4 separate regions of the Mus musculus genome follow, and all the other regions are reported to be linked to region 4. The links are microRNA targets in miRTarBase. Many come from high-throughput screens and were not tested one by one. Region 4 holds a microRNA gene; each other region holds the end of a gene's coding sequence.
What was found. The annotated mature microRNA mmu-miR-188-3p reads CUCCCACAUGCAGGGUUUGCA and lies in region 4 at 2,272-2,292, shown strand. An mRNA with a match to its seed (bases 2 to 7 or 8) in the 3' UTR can be bound and repressed. Matches are read on the target gene's strand: a 7mer-m8 pairs with bases 2 to 8, a 7mer-A1 pairs with bases 2 to 7 and ends in A, and an 8mer does both.

Region 1 (5,686 bases), not on the chromosome of region 4:
TGAAAAAGGGTCTCTCTGCAGGTCTGTATGTCCTGGAACTCACTCTGTAGACCAGGCTGGCCTCGAACTCAGAAATCTGCCTGTCTCTGCATCCCAAGTGATGGGATTAAAGGCATACACCACCACTGCCTGCCTTTTTTTTTTTTTTTTTTTGTTATAACAAAGATGCTTTCATTTGGGAGGCAGAGACAGGCAGATCTCTGAGTTTGAGGCCAGTCTGGTCTACAGAGTGAGTTCCAGGACAGCCAGGGCCACACAGAGAAACCCTTTCTCAAAAAACTAAAAAACAAAAGAGCAAATTAGACAGTAGACTAACTGTAGTACAGTCATACAATGGGATATTGGCCACTAATCTTTTAAAGGGGTAAAGTAACTGCTTTTACTTATAGTAACAAAAACAAACAAACAACAACAAAACATTGTTCTAATATTTGAGTAAAATAAGCTAGGCACGGGGCTGGAAAGATGGCTCAGCAGTTAAGAGTGCTCTTCCAGAGGTCCTGAGTTCAAATCCCAGCAACCACATGGTGGCTCACAACCACATGTAATGGGATCTGATGCCCTCTTCTGGCATCTGTGTCTGAAGAGAGCAACAGTGTACTCATATACATAAAATAAATAAATAACATAAAATACATAAATCTTTAAAAAAGTAAGCTTGCACAAGCAAATGTATGCAGCATGTGTGTGTTTCTATGAATTCGAGGGCAGGTAAAGATCAGTGATGACATTGGGGTGCAGCAGACACTGACTGGCAGGGTTGAAAGTCCTTTCCAGGAAGTTAGATGTAGTCTGCACCTGATTTAGGCAGTGTTCACTCCCTCATGTGCAAAATTAGGCTCTGACCCCAGAACAGCCAACCATTAAAATTTTCCAAGTTGCTAGGCATGGTGGCGCATCTCTAATCCTGGCACTCAGGAAGCAGATGCAGGCATATTTCTGAGTTTGAGACCAGTCTGGTCTACAAAGCAAGTTTCAGAACAGCCAGGGCTGTTATTCAAAGAAATCCTATCTCGAGAAAAGAAAAAACAACAACAACAAAGAATTTGGCAAGTTGTTGACCATATGTGGGTAGCTCCAGATTGGCCATGGTAGGACTTTGTGAATCATGAGAATCTATAAATAGTTCTTCACATTAAGGAAGTTTCTTTTTCCTCTAAGGTTTGCTTTTATTTTATGTCCATGGATGTTTTGCCTGCATGTCTATCTGTGCAGTTCATTGTCCTCAGAGGCCAGATGATGTCAAGTCCCCCTGGAACTGTAGTTACAGATGGTTGTAGGCTACCATGTGGGTGCTAGGAATCAAACCTGGGGCCTCTAGCCAGTGCTCTTAGCTGCTGAGCCATCTCTCCAGATCTAGGAAGGTTGTCAGCACACATTTCCGGCATGTCACTACTTACTGCGGATCACCCCTTAACTCCTGATGGTCAGTCAAAGGAACTCGAAGGGAGACAAGACCAGGGAGGTACTAAGGAGCTTTCTCCTCCAGCCCAGAAGGCAGTGTTGACAAGCCAGCATCCTCACTGCCTTTTTGCCTCGGTAATAAGCGTGGTCCCTGTGTTGCTGAGATCAGTTGTTGCCCAATATTTGAGCTTTGCATCCTAACGATGCTTTGCATCCTAACGATAGTGAACTGCTTCCTGTCTGTGATGAACAGTGAAAGAGCATACCTGAGCCTCTCTGTAGGCTCCTTCAAACAAAGAGGCTTTTGATTTTGAGTTCAAAGTCTTAACTCTTTTTGTCTCTGCCTCTTTAGGAGCATTCTGGAAGAGTTTTCCGCCTCCAGTTTGATGAATTCCAGATTGTCAGTAGTTCACATGATGACACAATTCTCATCTGGGACTTCCTGAATGATCCAGCTGCTCACGCTGAACCGCCCCGCTCCCCTTCTCGGACATACACCTACATCTCCAGATAAATAACCCAACACTGGCCTCATAATTGCCCAGGTATGAGAGAAGAAGCATGCACGAGCCCCGTGCTAGGAGATGGAGGACTGGCTGTGGGTGCTGCCCACTCCCAGAGCCATCTCACTCTCAGACCATTTGTGTCACCCATCCCTGTACAACAGGAAAGCAGAGCTGACAGCATGAGATAAGGCAGGGGCTGCCCCAGTGAGCACCACTCTCCCCAAGGTACAGTTCCAGTTTAGAGGATTCTTCTTCTGTTATTATAGTTCCTTCAGTACAAATGTTATCAAAGTAAAAGGACATTTGAACAGTTTGAAAACGAGTGAGCCCGAGCCTAGCATTTATAGTTCTTAGATGAAGTACCTACAGGGGAGCCCCTTCCAGGCTAACTTATCAACGTGACTGGAAATGGCTCAAGCAGCAGTGTGCCACTGACATCACACAGCTCTGCGTCGCTGCCACGTCATTCTCGCTGGGAACAGAAGGTGGCTTCCTTGCCTCTACTTTCTCTGCAACTTCTACAGGAGAATACCTGGTTTGTTCAGCCCCAGCAGCTACTTGAAGTTAGTACCCTTCCCACATCTCTAGCACCTCTCTAAAACAGAATAAAACCTAAAGTACCCGTGCATTCTGTATGAGTGTGTTTGCCGTTGGCATCCGCTGTGGTCACTGGCTCAGACAGGTTAGGTTATTGGCTTTAGGAACTTAGCACCAGCCTTTAGCTCCACGTCACTTCCTGTTTCCCACACTACCATTGCCTTGTAGTTACCACAGATGTGCCTTTCACTACACCCCTGCACCTGTCTTTCTGAGGGGGTGATCGGCATCTGGGGGCTCCCTCAGTTTCTCTGCTATCGTAGAGGACACAGTTGCTAAGTCACACTGTCACACGAGCTGCCATACCCTGATGAGGGAAGTGAGTGTAGGGCCCACTCACAGGTCTGCATGAAGACAGTGTTTGCAAAGCTCTTAGGACGTCACTCATCTTTTTATAAAGGTAACCGTGGTCACGCTCCTGTACCCACCATATACTTATCTGCTCTTTCTGCCAATGTTTGGTTTTTTTTCCAATGTAAGAGCATTTTGCTGTTGGGGTGGAGGCCCCTGGGGTATTGAGAACCTGGCCTGGTTCATGCTAAACACCCGTTTAACCACAGAAATGTGCCCCTAACCCTTGCCGTTATTATTCTTCCTAACTTTGTTTACATCTGTTTCCTCCTCTCGCTGCTGAAACAGACACTGCCCTGAGAGCCTGGTTTGGTCTTTTTGAATCATCATCTAGGCTCCCTTCTTAGGCTGTCTTCTCTGTTTCTATGGCATTAGCTCTCACTTCTACATAGAGGAGACAGAGCTTTTATCTCCAGGCTACACTTCCAGCCACCACCTACACCCTCAAAGGGATCAGGAGCACGGTCAGAAATCCGCCTGCCTCTGCCTCCCAAGTGTCGGGATTAAAGGCGTGCGCCACCACGCCCGGCTGAACATTCTCTTTTCTTAAAGCAAGTAAAAAGTACGGGGAAAGGTGCTGATGACTGTTGGCTGTGTTTTCACACAGGACTCGTTAATGTTGCAGTATTTAACAGACCTGCCAAGACCAGGATGAACAACAATCAAACTCCTACCCGGATTCCCGGACGGATGAGCGAGGAGCAGGGCTTTGAGACTCCTGTTGGGACACAGTCGGTCAGCAGCCGACCAGGACGGCCTGCTCGGCACCGGCTGCCTCAGTGCTGCTATCAGAAGATGTCTTTATCTTGTGTGAATGATTGGAACTTCCAAGCCTCCCTCCCCTTCCCTTCCCCTTCCTCCCTGCACCTGTTTCCCTCCCATTGGGTTCCAGACAAAGATGACTTATAAATATATTTAGTGTTTTGCCAGAATCTCTCTTGCTTTGCCGTTAAGCAGAAGAACTAGTTTCCCCACCTGGCCCACTTCTAGGGGACAGGGGCTGCAGCTTCCAGGCAGAGACTGCCTGGCCTCCTCCTGTTAACTGCAGGAGTGTCCAGCATCTGGCCAGAGCAGTCCCAGCCACTGCGTGGGAGGAGACAGCTGCCTACACATCTTGGAGGGGAGAGAGAGAGAGAGAGAGAGGAGAGGCGCACACACACTGGAAGATCTGCACTGCTGCCTCCCTCCATTGTCTGGGTGTCTGTCCCTCTTCCCTGCTCCCATACTCCATCTTGAGCCTGAGAAGGTGTGCAAAGAGAGTCCTCAGCTAGCATGAGGCGGATCACCTAGACAATGTGACACTTGCAAGAGTTGAGTTCGTCCTTATTTCCAGCCCAGGCTTTTGCTGCAAGTGACCAACCTGGGGCACCAGTGGATTTGTGACCATGACATTGGTCAGTCACATTTGCAGCTTTCTCCTTCCCTGTGCCCTGGGGAAGGGCAGGAATGTCCTGGGCACCATCAGTGCTGTGTCTGCTTCGGACTCAGCGGTCTTCCTCGGTCCCATGTAGAGTGGAGAGGAGCTGCTGATTGCATTCCTCTCATTAACAATTAGATGTGTAATAAAAAGCATTGTGCTTCATCTTAAATCACTGGCGAGGCTTGGCCTGCACAAAGGCTTGGAATAGCCAGCACCAGGCACCACTGCACTCTGCTCTGTGGCTCGAATTTGTTCCTCGACTGAGCTGGAAAGCACCCAGGGACCTGTAACTGCCCACCAAGAGCATAGTAGCCTAAGAGATGGTCAGGAGAGAAACAGATTCTGGGTTAGGCCAGTAAATGTCAGCATCTCAGCCTTCCACTGCAGGTCCTTATGCCGAGTGCTTGCAGAAAGGCGAGGCTGCCAGAGGGGATCAGGGTGAAGCTTGGCACACAGGGTTTACTGATAAGCAAAAGCTGCCTTCTCTTTCTTTCCTTCTCCCAGCCTTATTTGCTGTCCACTTTCCCCAGCCAGTTAGCTGGCAGTCAGTGATGACATAAGCGGCTGCACTTCCACAAGGGCAGAGCTAAGCAGGTCGTGTACACGGCTGCACTGGGCCCCTGCCAGTAGGCTCCAGATGCAGACACTCATGGCCAAACCTGGAAGTACTTGAACTGAAAACCAACTTAGTTACCCCACAGCATGCACAGGGCCTGCCAAGGGGTGACTTAGGCCACAGTGCAGCCTCGGTTTCACTTGGAAGCCAAGCAGTCAGACTGTCATGCTGTTCCTAACCGTGCATTTGAGTTGAAGAAAACCAACTGAACAAGCTGCTTAAAATAGAACGGGGCCCATCACATGTGGTCACAGACAGACCACCTTCACCTGAGCAGGAAGTGGGGCCCTTTCACAACTGGCCCTCAGATAGACCACCTTCACTTCACTGGTTTGCAAGTTACCCCTTGCCCAACGTGTCCCACTAGTGAATGCCATTACGTGCTGGGTCAGGTCACGTGTACAGATTGCCTTCCCTGTGTTAGCCGCATTTCTCCTTTCCCAACCAACCACGTGTTGCAGACTTGTCTGGTTAACCCCGCCGAGTCCCTTGTCTGTTATGTTGACTGTTAATAGTGAAGGACTTTGCTGCAAAACGGGTCAGACATGAAGAGACCTAAGCTGCTTCAAGAAATGGTCTAGTGGCCACAAGTCTACCAGCCCTTCTTCAGTTCCATGCTGCTTTAAGAAGTTAGGAGCTGGAGGACATCTGCCTAGCGTGGATGCCCAGGATTAGGGGGCAGTGTGGGCACTGCTGCAGACTGGTTGGTGCCAGGGCTGTGCTCTCCTCCCAGGTTCAGCTGGAGGGTGCTGTTCTGAAGCCAGCCGGGAAGTGTGGCTGCCCGTTGTCTCA
Region 2 (5,686 bases), not on the chromosome of region 4:
GAGCTCCTTCCTGCCAGGACCTCTCAGCGGGCTCCACACCCTCTGGACTCCAAGACCACATCTGACGTTCTAAGGTAGCTCTGACTGAGTGGGAAAGTGGCGCTCCTTCCTCCTTGCCCCTGAGGAGTGCAGGACAGGGTGGTGCTCAGAGACACTGCTGCTTGTGCAGAGCAGCAGAGTCCACTTCTCCCCACGGTGCAGGGACACACAGTGTGTGCACTCAGTTCACCACACAGGAGGTGCAGGGACACTTCATTTCCTATTCCAAAGAGGTGATGCAGGTGTCAGCCCTGGGCAGAAGAACAAAGGTTAGGGAGCAGAGCCTGGGAGTGGCTCTGCATGGAAAACTCAGTTTGACCTTCTCTGCCACAGATAAGTATGTTCGATTGACTAGAGCACTAATTCTTTGTTATGGAATGCACCTCAGATGCACGGACTCTGTTTCACTGTTTTCATCAGGGCATAAAATTTAATGGTGCATGCCTGTAATCCCAGAACTTGAAAGAGAAGGCTAAAGAACCAGGAGTTGAAAGTCATCCTTACTTACTTACTGAGTTCAAGCCCAGAGTCCAGCCTGAGCTCCGGAGACACTGTGTGGATGTGCATGTGTGTGCATGTGGATGCACGTGCCAGATGCCAGCCAGTCTCTTCCTGTCTCTCACCGTGCTCCTGAGATTGGCCTGTGTCCACCTCCTCTCCCCTTCCCTCCTCCTGCTATTGGATTATAGTGTGCACTGTTGCTCACTGCTTTACACGGGTTCTGGGGCACACACTCAGCCTTTCTGTCACTAGCTGAGATATTGCCCCAGACCCAAGACTGGATCTTCAAAACAACAAGCAGACAGAAGCTATCCTGTGCCTTGAGAGCTGAGCCTTTCTGGGTGCTCTCTGATGTACTGTGGTTTGGAAATGGGCGATGGACAGGTGCCTCACTAGCAACTTGGCCCCCAGGGTCTCTGATGGAACAGAGAGCAAGGGTCTTGTGCAAGTTAAGTACAACCATGCACACCTAGGATACCCATGCACACCCAGGCAGACAACTAAGGCTGTGGTCAAAAGTATCAGGCTAACCTGCCATAGAGAGCAAGGCCCTGTCCATCCCTGTTGATTTTTTTCCAGTGACCACATCAGAATAACATGGAGAAACTTGGAAAGCCGAGTGTCAGTAAAGTATTACATTCTGAACAATTCAATATGATCAGTATATTCTCATTTTGGCATCTAGCCAACATGAAACAGTTTTCATTCAGTGGCTTCCTGATCCTGGAGGCCCTGAGGTGGCCATGCTGGTGTGCAGGGACGCAGGGTGGGCCACGTGGGCCCCACACACCCCAAGCCTGTGGCCCAGAAGCTGACCTCTGTGCTCTCCCTGGCAGGTTTGTGCTGGAGCAGTACAACGCCCTATCCTGGCTCACGTGCAATCCAGCCACCCAGGACCGCACTTCCTGCCTTCCCGTCCACTTCGTGGTGCTCACGCAGCTGTACAATGCCATCATGAACATGCTCTAACCGGGAAGGGAAGCGCTTGCCCTCTGCCTCAGCTCCTCCTGCAGCCTTGGCCAGGGAGCCTGCTCCACTCTGCAAATGCCCGGCCTTTTTTAGAGCACTCCCTATACCCCGCACTGTGACGCCTTCTGAGCAGGCTCATGCTCCTCCTGCAGTGTTCATTGCCACAGTGACTTCTTGACGTGTCTCACGAGGACCTGGAAATTTCCATAAGCAGTGACTTGAGCCAATGTGTGATATGTGCAGCCTGCAGTCCCCGGGAAGTGGCGGCTGTTGGTGGCTGAAGAGGCAAGGAGAAGAGACACCGTCCTTTTGCACAAGAGCCTGCTCTCAGCCTCTGTTTAGTACCAGGCTGTCCAGCCCTCTGAATGCAATCCTCTAGCCAATGGTGGATGCCTGGGGGTCTCCCATACTTCATAACCTGGGATGTGTCACAACTAAGAGCCAGCTCCAGGACAGGATCTAGTGCTGGGGCCTCTGCCTCCCCCGCCTGTCAGGAGGGTTTTAGTTGATGGCACACCTGTGTAGACACAGGAGGTCTGGGGACAGCTGCATTCTGTTTATTTATTTTTCATTTTGTTGTAAGTTTTTTTGCGACTTTGTTTTTTCTAATCTTGAGGACCAGGTACAGTAGCTGAAGCCCACTGAGACCCACCGTAGGATTCTCTGAGTACATACCTCTGTCCTAGAAGCCAAGAAAGGAGTGAGAAGAAGCGGGGAGGCCACCTAGTGGTAGACTCGGTCAGACAGTCTGTGGCTGCAGCCTGTGTAGGTTGCACCCCTATATGAAGATGGTCAGGCTCAGCCCCGAGCTGGAGGCAAGGACCTTCATCACTTCTCTATACAGTCACATGGAAATACCTTTTCTAGAGAATTCTTACAGAAAGCCAGGTCTCTCCTTTCATTAGATCAAAAGGGACTCGTGTACATATCACAACCAAAGTGTTTGCTCACGAAACCAGTTACAAACACAGTGAATTTTTTCTGGACCATAGGAATATTGTTTCAAAGAAATAGTGCAACTCAACCGTTACATCAGTACTTGAAGCTGAGCCTCTATGTGGGACTTTAAAAAAAAAAAAAAAAGCCTTTTTAAAGCATTCGCAGCTGATTGAAGTATTCTTGACTCCCTGTCCCAGACCTTAGGGTTGACTTTGAAACCCTGTTTCTAGCCCTTATGTCGTATGTTTCTGTCTGTGGGTGGTGGGTGTAGACCGGCTTCCCAGAGCCTCCTGACAGGCCCGGCACTGAGCCCGGCTCCCGTGGGAGAGTCATGCAAACTAAGTTCTTCCAAGAGACTTTCATGTCCTGGTTATTAACAAAGAAAAGGAAAAAAATGTAATAATTGATATGGTTTTGTAAAAGTATTTTTCTTGAGATAATCTAACGTTTAAAACATTATATTAACATGTGGTGGGGATGTGAAAGCAGAGAAATAACTTGTACATGGGTGACTGTTCTCTGTCTCACCAACTGGGGGGGTTGCTTTCCAATGTATAGCTTAAAAAATCTGATATATCAAACCGTTTGTATCTAACGTGTACAGTGTAAAATTGACTTAAAATATCGCAGTGCTATTTTTTCTTATCAGCGAGGAAATCCTCAAGGCCTTTTGAAGAGCGTAAGATGACGGAGATGTAAACTTGTATAAAGTCACCTCGGGGAGGACGGGCTGTAAACTAGATATTTGTAATCTTTACCACTTGGGATTGCTTCCTCTCAGAGTTCACCAGAACTTTGAATTTCTCTCTCTCTCTCTCTTTTTTAAATGGGCTGTTTTTACTGCAGGGGCTTTTCTTCCCTAGAAACCCAACTCTACGCAGAAAAAGTGAAAAGGAAAAAAAAAACACAAAAAAAACCAGAAAAAAAAGCTATAAAAAGTTTTAAAAGAAGGCAGCAAAGGGTAGTTTCCATCTGGTGTCTTTTATTTAAGTTTTTTAAGTTAAGAAAAGCTGGTGACATATTTATACGTTTTTGTGCAAAAAATAAATGAATGGCAATAGATTTAAAGAAATCTTATTATGTACTTCTGTGTGCAAAAGTCTGTATAATATTTCCCCTAAATATGCATTATTTTACCTGTGAGTTTTTTACAGAATTAATCTGAAATGTACAAGCCCTGGATTTGCTACAGAGTGAGAAGTTATTTTATTTTATTTTTTTTTTATTTTTTATTTTGAGAAAACTGCAGAAATCAGAACTCCTACCATGGTTTGAAAAGGGAGGCGGGAGGGGAGGCGGGAGGGCTGGTCCGGCATGCCTGTATGTATCTCTCAAGAGCCTTTTTTTTAAAATGTAAAAGCTGTACATTTTTGGGAAGTTCTGATTTTCTTTTTCTTTTTTTTTTTCTTTTTGTTTCCTTTTACCTTCAAGCATTTTGCAGTGCGCTTCTTTTATATCTAGCAGACAATTGGAAAGAAATACAAAACCTATGTGACGTTCATTTAAGAACCACAGCCCAGTGCTGGTTCAATACACTAAAGACTTTGATAAAAGAGAATCAATGGCAAAGGTCTCCATTTTAAATGTCATTCATATATACCTTGTGGATGAGAGCTATATACTTTTACACACTTTTTTAGAGGAATAAATTATTGAATTACTGAAACCTCGAGTGGCTCTTTTCCCCTCCCACCCCCTCTCTGTACTGAGATCACCCCGCTCCAGTCTGCACATGCGTCACAGACGGATCTACTGCTCTGGCCTATAGAGTGCACGTGGGGATTGCATCACCCACCACCCCAGTGGCTGTTCCAGCATTCCCAGGTCGGGTCCCAGATGCCACCAGCACCAAGAGCCTCTTAGGTGCTCTGGTGTTTAGGTCCTTCGCGTTCTTGAGCAGGGCAGATCTGATCGTGTCTAGTCCTGGGAGGTTTGCAGACAGCCCTAGGACAAGTGTGCATCCCCCCCTTTCACTACTGATGTACAGGCCGGTGGCAGTAGCTTGCTATCAGTCATGCCACACACAAGCAAGTCCTGCTAAACACACACCATCCGCTGTGACTATGGTGTTTCTTTCTCCAGTAGAGAACCCACTCACTCGGTCTTGGGTTCACTCTCCTGTCCGTTTGAAACATTACCCAAAATGGACAAGCCCTGGGACTCGGCGGCTCTTCCAGTAAAAACCAGAATAATTGGAAGGGACTTGGTTTTTTCATTGTCCTCCATCAGCTTTGAAATCTAATCTCAGTGTCTCCGAATTTAGACAGCAATTTGCTGGGTTGACTCCATAGGACCTCCCCCCCACCACCACGCCCATCCCCCTGGTCACATCATTTACAGTGAAAGGCAAGGGGAGTTCACAACAAGTGCTCTGCAAAGCAGAAAGCTCAACACTAAAAGGCAGCCATGTATCCATGTGTTTCCATTGGCGGTACCAGCCGTGACACATGCGCATGCACACACACACACACACACACACACACACACACACTCACTCCTCAGATCTCCCTACTCCAACGTCGGCAAGCTAAACAGAACTGGGTGGGTTCTCGAGGGCCTTCCTGTGCACTTTGCTCAGCTCACACATCAATTGGTACTCACCTGATTCCATCATTGCTGACTTTACTCCTACGGGAAGCAGGACTTCCTGTAGCTTGTGGCTCAACCCGAGGTGGCAGAAGTTTTGCTGTAGACGCGGAGACATGATGACAGCCGTTGGCCATCCAGCTGACCTTCTGCAACTGGTTTCCAATTCCCACAGCCCTCCACTCCACCTGTGAGCCTGAGCGGTTTTATGTCCCTGCCTTTAGAACATCACAGGGTGAGGGATTTTATGCCAACTGGTATCAAATAGTAAGACCCCCTTTGGAAACTGCTTTTCCTCAGTACAAGGACTAAAAAGCTTCCGAAGACTAGCTACTGAAACAGAAGCCACACCCTGGAGCTCAGTCTGCTGCGGCCATGGTCCTGGTCACTGTGAGAAGTAGCTTGGCTCTCCTCGTGTTGGAAGTCCTACCCGAGGTGCAGTTTCTAATGTGTGGCCCACGTGCTCCGGGTGTTGCCAGAGTCATTTACATCTACTCTACAGAGAGCCACTATTAGTTACTATTTCCTGTTACTAATGACAGGTGTCAAGGGAAGGCTGGGGATCCAGATAGTTTAGAAGATGGTTTATGTCCTGGGCCTCTAGCTCTGCATCCGGCCAGATTAATTCAGTCTCACTTCAATTCAATTTTTA
Region 3 (5,686 bases), not on the chromosome of region 4:
AGCTGGCGGTGGAGATCAAAAAGGAAGTGGACAAGGAGAAAGCAGTCCCGGATGAGAAACCCAAGGAGAGAGAGAAGCCCAGTGAAGAGGAGGAGAAGTATGATATTTCTTCCAAGTACCACTATTTGACTGAAAACGACCTAGAAGAGAGCCCTAAAGGTGGACTAGATATCCTCAAATCCCTTGAGAACACAGTAACGTCTGCCATCAACAAGGCTCAGAATGGCACTCCCAGCTGGGGCGGCTATCCCAGCATCCACGCTGCCTACCAGCTCCCCAACATGATGAAGTTGTCCCTGGGTTCCTCGGGGAAGAGCACGCCCCTGAAACCCATGTTTGGCAACAGCGAAATCGTGTCTCCCACAAAAACCCAGACCCTGGTCTCTCCACCCAGCAGCCAGACCTCTCCCATGCCCAAGACAAACTTTCACGCCATGGAGGAACTGGTGAAAAAAGTCACGGAGAAAGTTGCCAAAGTTGAGGAGAAAATGAAAGAGCCAGAAGGCAAGCTCTCGCCACCCAAGCGGGCCACGCCGTCCCCGTGCAGCAGCGAGCAGAGCGAACCCATCAAGATGGAGGCCTCCAGCGACGGCAGCTTCAAAAGTCAGGAGAATAGCCCCAGCCCACCAAGAGATGCGTGCAAGGAGGCGAGCCCCTCCGCAGAGCCCGTAGAGAATGGCAAGGAGCTGGTGAAGCCCCTGAGCGGAGGTCTCAGCGGCAGCACAGCCATTATCACGGACCACCCACCAGAACAGCCTTTTGTGAACCCCCTGAGTGCCCTGCAGTCGGTCATGAACATCCACCTGGGCAAGGCCGCCAAGCCCTCGCTGCCTGCGCTGGACCCCATGAGCATGCTTTTCAAGATGAGCAACAGTCTGGCCGAGAAGGCAGCTGTGGCCACCCCACCACCCCTTCAGGCCAAGAAGGCGGAGCATCTGGACCGCTATTTCTACCACGTCAACAATGACCAGCCCATAGACTTGACAAAAGGGAAGAGCGACAAAGGTTGCTCTTTAGGTTCAGGGCTTTTGTCCCCCACGTCCACATCCCCGGCAACTTCCTCATCCACGGTGACAACGGCAAAGACATCTGCCGTCGTATCATTCATGTCAAACTCGCCGCTGCGTGAGAATGCCTTGTCAGATATATCCGATATGTTGAAGAACTTGACAGAGAGCCACACGTCAAAATCCTCCACTCCTTCCAGCATCTCTGAGAAGTCTGACATTGACGGGGCCACCCTGGAAGAGGCCGAGGAGTCGACTCCGGCGCAGAAGAGGAAAGGCCGCCAGTCAAACTGGAATCCTCAGCACCTGCTAATCCTGCAGGCGCAGTTTGCAGCTAGCCTGCGGCAGACTTCAGAAGGGAAGTACATCATGTCCGATCTGAGCCCCCAGGAGCGCATGCACATCTCCAGGTTCACCGGTCTCTCCATGACCACCATCAGCCATTGGCTGGCCAATGTGAAGTACCAACTTCGAAGGACAGGTGGAACAAAGTTCCTCAAAAACTTGGACACTGGACACCCAGTGTTCTTTTGTAACGACTGTGCGTCACAAATCAGGACTCCTTCCACGTACATCAGCCACCTAGAGTCACATCTGGGCTTCCGGCTACGGGACTTATCAAAATTGTCCACCGAACAGATTAACAATCAAATAGCACAAACCAAGTCGCCGTCTGAAAAACTGGTGACATCCTCCCCGGAGGAGGATCTGGGGACCACCTACCAGTGCAAACTTTGTAATCGGACCTTTGCGAGCAAGCATGCTGTTAAACTTCACCTTAGCAAAACCCACGGGAAATCACCGGAAGACCACCTCCTGTTCGTTTCTGAATTGGAGAAGCAGTAGCGTTTGCTCCAGAGCGGAAATGACTGGAGGAGAAAATGCTGAAGGCACCTTAAAGCCCCTCTCTGTCTTGTTCTTGGCACACGTTCTTATGTTCACTGCAGAGGATTGTTCTGGGCTGGACTGTTCGGTCTAACTGTACAGTGTTTAATAGAGAGGTGCATATAATCAGCTGTTGTTACTGGTAAAATAACGAAGGTTAAAACGCAGTGCTAAGTGTTTGGAACTTTGTGTAAATGGGATTTAATTGTGAGCATCCCCTCGATGCTTCAAGCTGCATGCATTAACAGACGGTTTAATTAAGCATTTATAAGGAAACCAGGCACACTTTTTCCATGAGACTTGGGTGTGCTGGCATTTCCCACCCTTTCATCTTTAGCCCTCTGAGTACTACGAAGCACTTTTGCATTAATTTGGTTAATAAAAAAAAGATAATAATAAAACAAAATAATAATGAATAATAATAATGTATGAAACTCTGTTTTTAAAACTCGTTACCAGCTTAGTTATAAGGAATATTAGGAACCTCCATTTATGCAGGGGTATGACACGCCTTGAAATTTAAAAGAATATTATTTTCACATTGAAACATAGATGTATATATTGTATAGATTTCAAACTCTTATGGGAAAATGTGACTGGTTAAATGACCCTTTCTTTCTTGCATTTATAACAAGTGTTTTATGTATCTGCTATACTCTGGGCACAAGCCATGCCTCTGTATAGTGTATATTTCCTTATCTTTTTCTTTTTTTTTAAGGTTTATGGTTTTTTTTTTACATGCAAACATTGTAAATTATACAGAAAATACCACAGATAGCATTTATAAAATATACAGAAGCATTATCTCAAAGCAAGGTATGATGTTTGTTTTGCTATACGGCACATCTATATTGATAGAGGGTTCATGTTTAAATTATACATATTTATTAGCATTCTATTATCATTTGTTTTGAGGTCAGGAAATCCATCCCTGGCAGGCATCATAACTATTTTGCACATGGTTCTTAAAGGTATTTATTAGAAATTAAAGGATGCTCAAAGTAAACTCAGTGCTCAAAGGGTTAAGTCTATTCGAAAAGGAAAAAAAAAGATTAAAAAAAAAAACCCAACTTGTACTGTATTTCCTGAACATTGATAAAGCCTTTAAAATGTTTGTACTGTAATCCTTTGCTTAAAAGTCAAGAGTCGTTCTGTGGGACAGCCCCTTCACTTATTTATAAGCCCTCTCGGTTGCTAGTTCATAATGTGGGATTTTTTTCCCTTTCTCTTTTTTCTTTTCTTTTCTTTCTTTCTTTCTTTTTTTTTTTTTTTAATTTCAATCGGTAACTTTGTTTTGTTCCTCCTAATTATTCTCCCAAGATCCCACACTGCAGTTTTATCTTTAGGCTTATGAAAGGTAACCCGTGGTAACCGGCTCTCCAAGCCATTCTTGTCTCCATTTCTGGCAGTTAATTTGCAGAAATAACTGACAGCTGACACCATATGAGAACCTATGTATAAAATATTGGCATGTAAACACCACAGACACCGTGACACACTCTGTGCCCTGTTTTGTTGTTGACGATGGCACACCATGATGTGACTCTTCATATAACCCTTTTTTTCTACGGCAGCATTAAAATTGTCTTTTTGCTATAATTTTGTGTTGCGTTCACAATTATGTCTGAGATGTGCTACGACTAACGAGCACATTAAAATTAAATTGTATGCGATCTGTTTATGACTGACTCGGTTGCTGTGTCTGCCAGGTGCTGGCAGTTGGAGGCTGCGCGTAAATCAGGGGGAGTTTTAGTGAACTTTGGTGTTTATAAAGAACTCTCGGAGGCTTGTATAGCATTTCCCTCAGGAATAAAAATTGGAAAGACATCAGAGATGCACATGAGGCTAAACCCCTGTGGGCAAGGAATGTCGTAATAAAGTCTCCACTGTCAGAGCCTCAGTCAGGTCACGCTGGATACCTCTCCTGGGTGGCTCTGGTGTCCTTTCTGGATGCCCCATAGTGTTCCTGGGCTGAAGGGTCTTAAGAAGACTCTGTACATAATGGCTCATTCTTGCTAACTTAAGATTTTCCAAGGGGAAAGTAGAGAGGACCCACGTATTCAGACTTAGGGGTCATCTGTTCTTCCCAAGTTAAAGCAAGCAGAGACAACCAGGTTGGGTAGGGATTGGGAGGAGTTCGGACCCATCCATGGCAGGGGTGGGGGGTAGGTAGGGGGAAGGGGAGAGGAGTAGGAAGGAAGCATTTATATGATAATCACAAGCTTTTATTGGCCCTGGCAAATCACTCCAACAAAATGCTGAGAACATCATGTAGAACTGTAAAATACCTTTATTACTATATTGAAGCTAGTCTTGCAGTTAGGCAGAACCAGAGCTCCTAACCTAGAATTATACAAATGAGAGATGCGATACACCCATGTAATACATAAAACACCTCAACTTGAAGGAAGAAAAGATACTCTTTTATTAAAAATTTAAATTAAGCCCTTTCAAAAATGTTCGGCAACACGCCTACGGGTTTTTCCCTCTCCCCACCCCTTTTTGTCAAGACAAGTCCAAATGTGCCATCTACTCTGTTTTCTTAGCAATCCCCCCCTCCCTCTCTCTGGTTTTGGAAAGAACTCTGCTGGAGTTTAAAATGGGTGTCTGGCAGGTAGTGACACAGGGACTCTACTCCAGCCTTGTGACTTGGGGCACACAGGTAAGGCACAGCCTCAGGATTGTCGGCCTCTGGGTCCAAGGTCTGCCCTGCTCTCTGCCTCCAGTGTGATCAACCCATGTCTTTCTCTCTAAGGCCCTCTACCCGGAGGAAGCTGAGGGTTGTTATATTCTACCAGGATACCTGCTACCGTCCTAGAACCTGGCTCAGGAGACAGAGACCCCCCCTCCCCGCTGTGCTTTCTGCATCTTTGCATCCTGAAGCCCAGATTTCCACTCTTGAATTTTTCACAGGTTAAATATAGCATCGGTTTATTAGAATCCAAAGTCCTGCATCTAACAGATTAAACTGACAACACTCTCGTCATCACCAGGGCCCATGTGGCTTGAAGGGAGAGGGGATTTGTGTGAGTGATGGTGGAGCCCCCCTCTTCACAGTTGAGAAGGACCCAACACTCTGAGAAATCCTCCTCCCCCTCCCCCAGGATTATTATCAGGGCTGTTCAATTTGGGGGGAGACATGGAGATTGATAGCCAAGGTGGGTAGTGAGTTACACACTCAGTTGTGCCTTGGACTCAGCCTGCTGGTACTAATGGAAACCCTAAATTAATTCTACCCCCAGGGAAGTATTAGTAAGGAGAGCTATTGAATGCAAACCTCTTTGTAAAAGAGAGTCTTCTTAGCATTGGGAAGTGGACCACTTTCCTCTAAACCACTAAACCCTCGCCTTGCAACAGGGTAGGCAATATGCAAGAATACTACCAGATCATAGCCCGTTAGGGCCCCAAATCAAGAAGGACCATCCAGAGGAAATACCAAGTCTACTGTTGACCACTTAGTCTATGGCTGATGTGAACAGAGAAGGAGAGTAAATGGTGAGATTGGTGTCCAAGGAGGCCTGCAAATGGCTCTTGGAGGGATGGTGGATTCACAGAGGGAGGGGGCTTTAATCACAGGTGCGCAGGTGACCCTGACCTCAACCACCGCCCACGCTCAGTCTCACTGAGGTCCTATGGTATATCTTCCAGCCATCACATTTACGCAGTATCTTAAAATAACATTTGTGATAAATGTGCAATTTAACTAATTTATGGTGCTATGATGTGCTCAGGGCTACATGCAAGATGAAAATCTTAAATGGAGCTTGAACAGCTCAATTCACAACAAGAAATCA
Region 4 (5,686 bases):
TAAAGCCCACTTTTCCGGCTTTCTTTCTGATGGCTCACATTACACATTCTCAGCTTTCTTTTTTGTTTGTTGATTTTTATTTTGATCACATGATTGTACAATGTAAAGCAGTCAGGTCTCCAACTTGCTATTCACCTGCCTCAGCCTCTCATTGCTGAGATTATGGAGGGTGTACTGCTACACCCAGATTATATCCTATAATCATTCTTTCTAGCTGTTCTTTAAGTATGACCTGGTATTGTTTCATCTGTAGGACAGGGAACATGATCATTACTTCATAGATATTTGTGGGAACAAATTAGTTGTATATGAAAAGTACTTAATGTTGCAGATTGGTTCTAATGTTATTTGTGTTAATTTGGCTCCTGAAATCATATGGGAGCCCACATGTCTGTGCTGAGGGTCTCTGCTCCTAGTTGGCTCTGATTGGGAAATAAAGTTGCCAGTGACCAGTGACTGGGCAGGGAGACAGAAGCCAGACTTGCAGGATTCCCCAGCAAGAAGCACAGCAGAGAAGGAAGAGGGGATTCCACAATGACAAGGGCACAAGTGACAGACTATGCAGGGAAGGTACAGGAGGGAGAGACAGCTGAAATGTAGGTACAAAGGTGTTGTGTCTGGCCAGTAGATCACAACCTGGGTTCTAGCCTGGAAAGGCATTTTGGAAACCTGGAAGAGAAGAGGGGCTGGGCTGCGCGAGATAAGGAAGGAACCAAGACAAAGCTCTCTGCTCACGGTTCAATTTTTACTATTTTGGCACTCAGTTATAAAGGAAGGGGGAAGGGGCCCAATTCCCGCCAAATAATCTTGGGATCCAGTAGCAGGGTGATCACGTGATGGCTTCGGAACAGCAAAGCGGCAGGTTCCAGCAGTAGGCGTGGCAGAAAGATTGAGCGGGAAGCTCCACCCCTGAGCAAGCAAGGTTTCAGGCTGGGGGAGGGGAGACTACACAAAGGGGAAGGTGGCCCCAGAAGGGCTGCCCAAAAGGGTTCAGGACAGCAAAGATAAAATATAGATTTAATAAATTTTAGCTCAGGAATGTGGGAGGGGAGTGTGTTAGCTATGTGGAGGTTCAGGTGAATGCTCTCATCCAGTGGTTGGATGAGAGCATCCACCATAGCAGAAACAACAATATGAACCAACCAGTAGCCCCAGAGCTCCCAGGGACTAAACCACCAACCAAAGAGTACACATGGAGGGACTCATGGATCCAGCTGCATAAGTAGCAGAGGATGGCCTTGTTGGACCTCAATGGGAGGAGAGGCCCTTGATCCTGAGAAGGCTCGATGCACCAGTATAGGGGAATACCAAGGCAGGGGAGTGGGACTGGGTGGGTTGGTGAGCAGGGGGAGGGGGATGGCAAAGGGGGTTTTCAGAGGGAAAACCAGGAAAGGGGATAACATTTGAAATGTAAATAAAGAAAATATCTAATTTAAAAAAAAGAAACATAGAAGAGCTTAACAAATTACCACAACTTAATACTCTACCAAGAGCAAATATAAACTGGCATTGGGAATAAAAAGAAAAGAATATTAAAAACAACTGGAAGAGGGGGCAGTGAGTGGAATATAAAGTGAATAAATAAAATGAATAATTAAGAGTATAAAAACAAATAGTCCATAGGAAGTGAACACTCCTAAAGGCATATATGTGCATGTTCACAAATACACCTTTTCATTGTGCTATGTCTAAGGCAGTCATCATACCTTTCAGGACCAACATACAACACAGACAAAGACACACTGTTGTACATGCATGCTGATTTGTACACAGGAGAGCACGCCTACAGATTTGCTTTTTCTCTTCCATGCCTTGAGTGTAGGACCGTTGACATCTTAATTACCCTCCCACACCCAAGGCTTGCAGGAGAGCAAGCCTTCTCTTCTCTCTCCTGTGCATAGGCATGACTGCATATACATCTACAGCAAAGACATGTCTCCTCTCTCTCATGTGCTCTCTGTGTGGCGCATATATATATATATATATACATATATATATATGTATATATATACACACAGCATTGCCATTCGCTATCTCTTCCAAGTGACTTTCCTGCCTGTAATGCCCCTCTTGGTCCGCATGTGTGTGTTCCTCCTGCCTTACCCACCATCAGTTTCATGTAGCTGGTTTGTTGTTTCTGCGTGATCCCTGGGCTGCTTTCTGTTGCTTTTTCCATAGAAAGTACCTACCTGTTGTGCCAAGAGAGTGAACCCTTCCCTGCTCCCTCTCTCACATCCCTTGCATGGTGGAGGGTGAGCTCTCTGAAAACCCCTCCCACATGCAGGGTTTGCAGGATGGTGAGCTTCAGCTTTCCTTGCTCTCTTGTGCATGGTGGACATATGCATACACAACTTCATAAAGAAAACCCCACATACCCAAGGAAACAGCCATCTGTCCTGTCTTCCACCTGACATGCACATCTCACAGTTTTCTTTCTCCAGGGAGGGCTCATGTGTCCCATGCTGCCTTTGAACTCCCTGCATAGCTAAGGATGATGATGGAGCACTTTTTTTCGAGACAGGGTTTCTCTGTATAGCCCTGGCTGTCCTGGAACTCACTCTGTAGACCAGGCTGGCCTCAAACTCAGAAATTCGCCTGCCTCTGCCTTCTCAGTGCTAGATATAAGACTGGAGTGGCTATGCCTGGCTTGATGTTCCAATTCTGATCTTCATGCCTCTTTGTCCTGAATGCTAGGATTATAGGAATGTACGCCTGGTTTCTGCTGTGCTGGGGATGGAACCCAGGGTTCTGTGAGTTCTAGGCATACTTTTATCAACTGAGTTATATTTCCAGCCTTCTTACCTTCTAATTTTGTATTGTATTTTGTACAGAGTATGGACCCTTACCTTTGGTGACAGTTATTGCTTAGAAAGAAGGGAAGTCTTTTGTCCTGGTCTTGCTTTTCCTGTATATAGGGGAGCAGAGAGAGCCTTCTCAGGACTCTCATTCTCAAGTTAGCTGGAAAGAAAGCCATCTAGCTATTTCTCATAAGCTTATGCTATGAGGAAATTTGCACGTACTTCTTTAGATGCATTTGTTCACATATATACTAGATTTCAGGGAGTGGAAAAACCCGCACTGTGTCCTGCTTTCTCACATATATATTTCTTTGTGCAGGAGAGTGTATGATAGCTTTAAGACATTTATTTGGATAGTTCTTTTTTGTTTGATACTGAAACTCTTTCTCTTGAAAGCTGGAACTTTTTTCCTCATCCTGTTCCAGACCCAGGGTTCACAGCTGATTTGTTTGGTAGGCTATTCAGCAAATGTCGCTTGGTTATCTTTTTTACTTTGAGTATTTTCCTATGCACCCACGTACACAGCACTAATCAGGGCTATTAGGGAGATGAAGGCAGTAAACAAAATGATTAAACACGCAGTGGGTCATTGTTGCCCAGGAGAATGAAAAAGCAAGGGAAACAAGTATGTAATGCGTGGAGTGACAATAGTAGGGAAAGTGGTGGCATTTCAGTTTCCAGTGGAGCCTTTAGGAAAGGCTGCTGTGTACTGAGAGCATCAATGCCATTGAAGCAGCAGCAGAAGTGTGGAAGGCTTCAGTCACAGATGGAGGGAAGAGCACTGATGATTAGTGTGAATCTGCACAAAAGGAAGGATTGTTTTCTTTTTGTAATCCAACAAAAGTCATTGTGCCATTATCATGTTTAGAAATAATTACCGATTCTTTGACATCATATATCCATTGTTCAAATTTCCATTTCTTTTGGAGGTATCATAAACTAGGATCTAAATAAGACCCTTGCATTAATTTCATTGGCCAGTATTTTAAGTGCCTTTGAATTATAAGCCCGTCTTTACCTTTTTCCTCATACTTATTTGTTGGAAGAAAGTAGGTCATATATCTGCGTGGCTTTCCACAGTCTTGTGTTTTTATGAGCACATTCCTCTGATGTAGCTTCCATGCTCCTTTTATTTGCATTTCCTATTAATTGAGAGTTGTATCCAAGAGCCTTATTAGATTCAGGCTTAATTTGTGGGGAGGAAAGAACTGCCTCCATTCAGAGATACAGGTCTTTGTGTGTTACGGTAGTTTGCCATTGATGCTCAAATCCTAGAGCCATTATTTCATTAGCAGTTGTAGAATGGTGGCATTCCACTATTCACCCTCCTGTTAATTGCTGGGTAACTTCTGTAAAGTAAAAACTTCCCCTCATTTACTATTTGATTACCTACTAATAACAGTTTTCCTAAGAAAGAAAAGGTAAATGCTTGACTCTCTTATCAGGGCTAAAAATGAGTTATTGCAAAGATATGCATTCAAAAACTATTTTGATAAACACAGGGATTTAAATGTATTTAGTTTTTCCCTCATTGCAGTTCTTCTCTGCAGTGAAGCCCAAATCTTCCATCTTCTGCCAGTGTGAGCTTCTTCAAATATGGTGTCACATGTCTGTAACTCTGCACTTAAGGTATGAAGACAGGAATATCATTGCAAGTTTGAGGCTACCATAGGCCACTTAGTGAGTACTGTGCCAATATAGACCCTGTCGCTGAAAGTCAAGCTTAGTTGGCCTTCAGTCCTTTGGCTCTAGTAGTTACTTGATAACTTCTCTGCCTTCAAGGATGCAACAGTGCTTCTTACTCATTGTCATCATCACTCTGACATATGACATGCTTTCAACAAGCATTTGTTTCCTTAAGTCAGATAACGTATTAGAGTTCATATATTATGTGGGCATCAGAGTTCTCATTGCATCTGGATTGGTAGTTGTTTTTAAACTTCTTCATGATCAATAGTATTAACAAAATGTTTGTCTCATACTGTTAGTAATAGATAAAATATATTATTCAGCTTAAGTTCTTATTTATAATTCAAAGTTAGAGTTATTAGGGATTTAGATATTTAATTGTTTCATAACCCTCGTTTTGACTGGGCAAATCAGGAGAGTTCCAGAGGCCTACTAGGAAGCCACTGAAATAATATAGGTATTGTGAGGTCCGACAGGCTTGGGGAGGTGGTGATGCTGACAGTGGTGAAATGTAGTTATGAATGTACTTCAAATGTAGAGCAATTTGGATTTTCTGATGTTGGATATGAAGTATGAGAGAAGTAGCCAAAGGCAGACTTCTTTTTCTTCTTTCTTGTGAATGAATTGTATGCATGTCTGGGTACCTCCTCTACCTCCTCTTTAATCCTTAACACCTTGAGCTTTGCCAGTGCACAGTACCTGGGCAAGGACTCACAGAGAGCAAGCATCGTCTGCACAAAGAAAGCATGTATTTATCACCTCTCCTAGTGCAGAGGGTTTTGAGCATTTCTTGAATTTGCATGTCCAAAAGTAGGCAAAGCATGAGGGGTTATGAATGTACTATGTGCTAAGGTTTGTATCTAAGAATAAATTTCTTATTCTCATAAAGCTTCCTCCTTTCATATGTTCAAGGGTTTATAAAAAGTAAATTTTGTCATAATTTCCCTATGTAATCCTTATGATCCAGCTTTTTGGTCTGCTCCTTCCCTGTGATACCTGCTGCTAGTGTTTTCTACATGCAGCTGGGATTCAGAAAGAATTTAAAGATGGAAGGCTCTCTTGTTTGCCTGTGTGTATTTATAGCTAAGTATTTCTTAACAATGGGGATTTCTGAGAAATATGGTTGTTAAGTTATTTTTGTCGTTGTATGAATATTATGGAGTTGCCTAGTTACTGTTCTATTGCTGAGAAGAGACACC

Region 1: the mRNA of Btrc is a reported target of mmu-miR-188-3p. The part of its 3' UTR that is shown has no 7-base or 8-base seed match.
Region 2: the mRNA of Med13l is a reported target of mmu-miR-188-3p. Seed matches in the 3' UTR shown: 7mer-m8 at 2,566-2,572.
Region 3: miRTarBase lists Tshz3 as a target of mmu-miR-188-3p. Seed matches in the 3' UTR shown: 7mer-m8 at 3,045-3,051 and 7mer-m8 at 3,098-3,104.

The regions. Positions count from the first base shown.
Region 1 is chr19:45,525,508-45,531,193 of GRCm38, forward strand. Btrc (beta-transducin repeat containing protein) reads left to right here. Exons shown (of 15, transcript NM_001037758.2): 14 at 1,757-1,949; 15 at 3,466-5,686. The coding sequence ends at 1,918. Among named protein-coding and RNA genes, the nearest start is that of Gm19639, 15 kb to the right of the region's middle.
Region 2 is chr5:118,761,325-118,767,010 of GRCm38, forward strand. It overlaps Med13l (mediator complex subunit 13-like), which reads left to right. Exons shown (of 31, transcript NM_172424.4): 30 at 1-74; 31 at 1,377-4,114. The coding sequence ends at 1,509. Among named protein-coding and RNA genes, the nearest start is that of Gm42015, 79 kb to the right of the region's middle.
Region 3 is chr7:36,769,981-36,775,666 of GRCm38, forward strand. It overlaps Tshz3 (teashirt zinc finger family member 3), which reads left to right. Exons shown (of 2, transcript NM_172298.3): 2 at 1-3,573. The coding sequence ends at 1,853. Among named protein-coding and RNA genes, the nearest start is that of Gm36722, 75 kb to the left of the region's middle.
Region 4 is chrX:7,244,598-7,250,283 of GRCm38, reverse strand. It overlaps Mir188 (microRNA 188), which reads left to right and starts at 2,228; the gene lies at 2,228-2,295. The region is part of intron 2 of Clcn5 (chloride channel, voltage-sensitive 5); the gene reads left to right. It overlaps Mir532 (microRNA 532), which reads left to right and starts at 1,787; the gene lies at 1,787-1,882.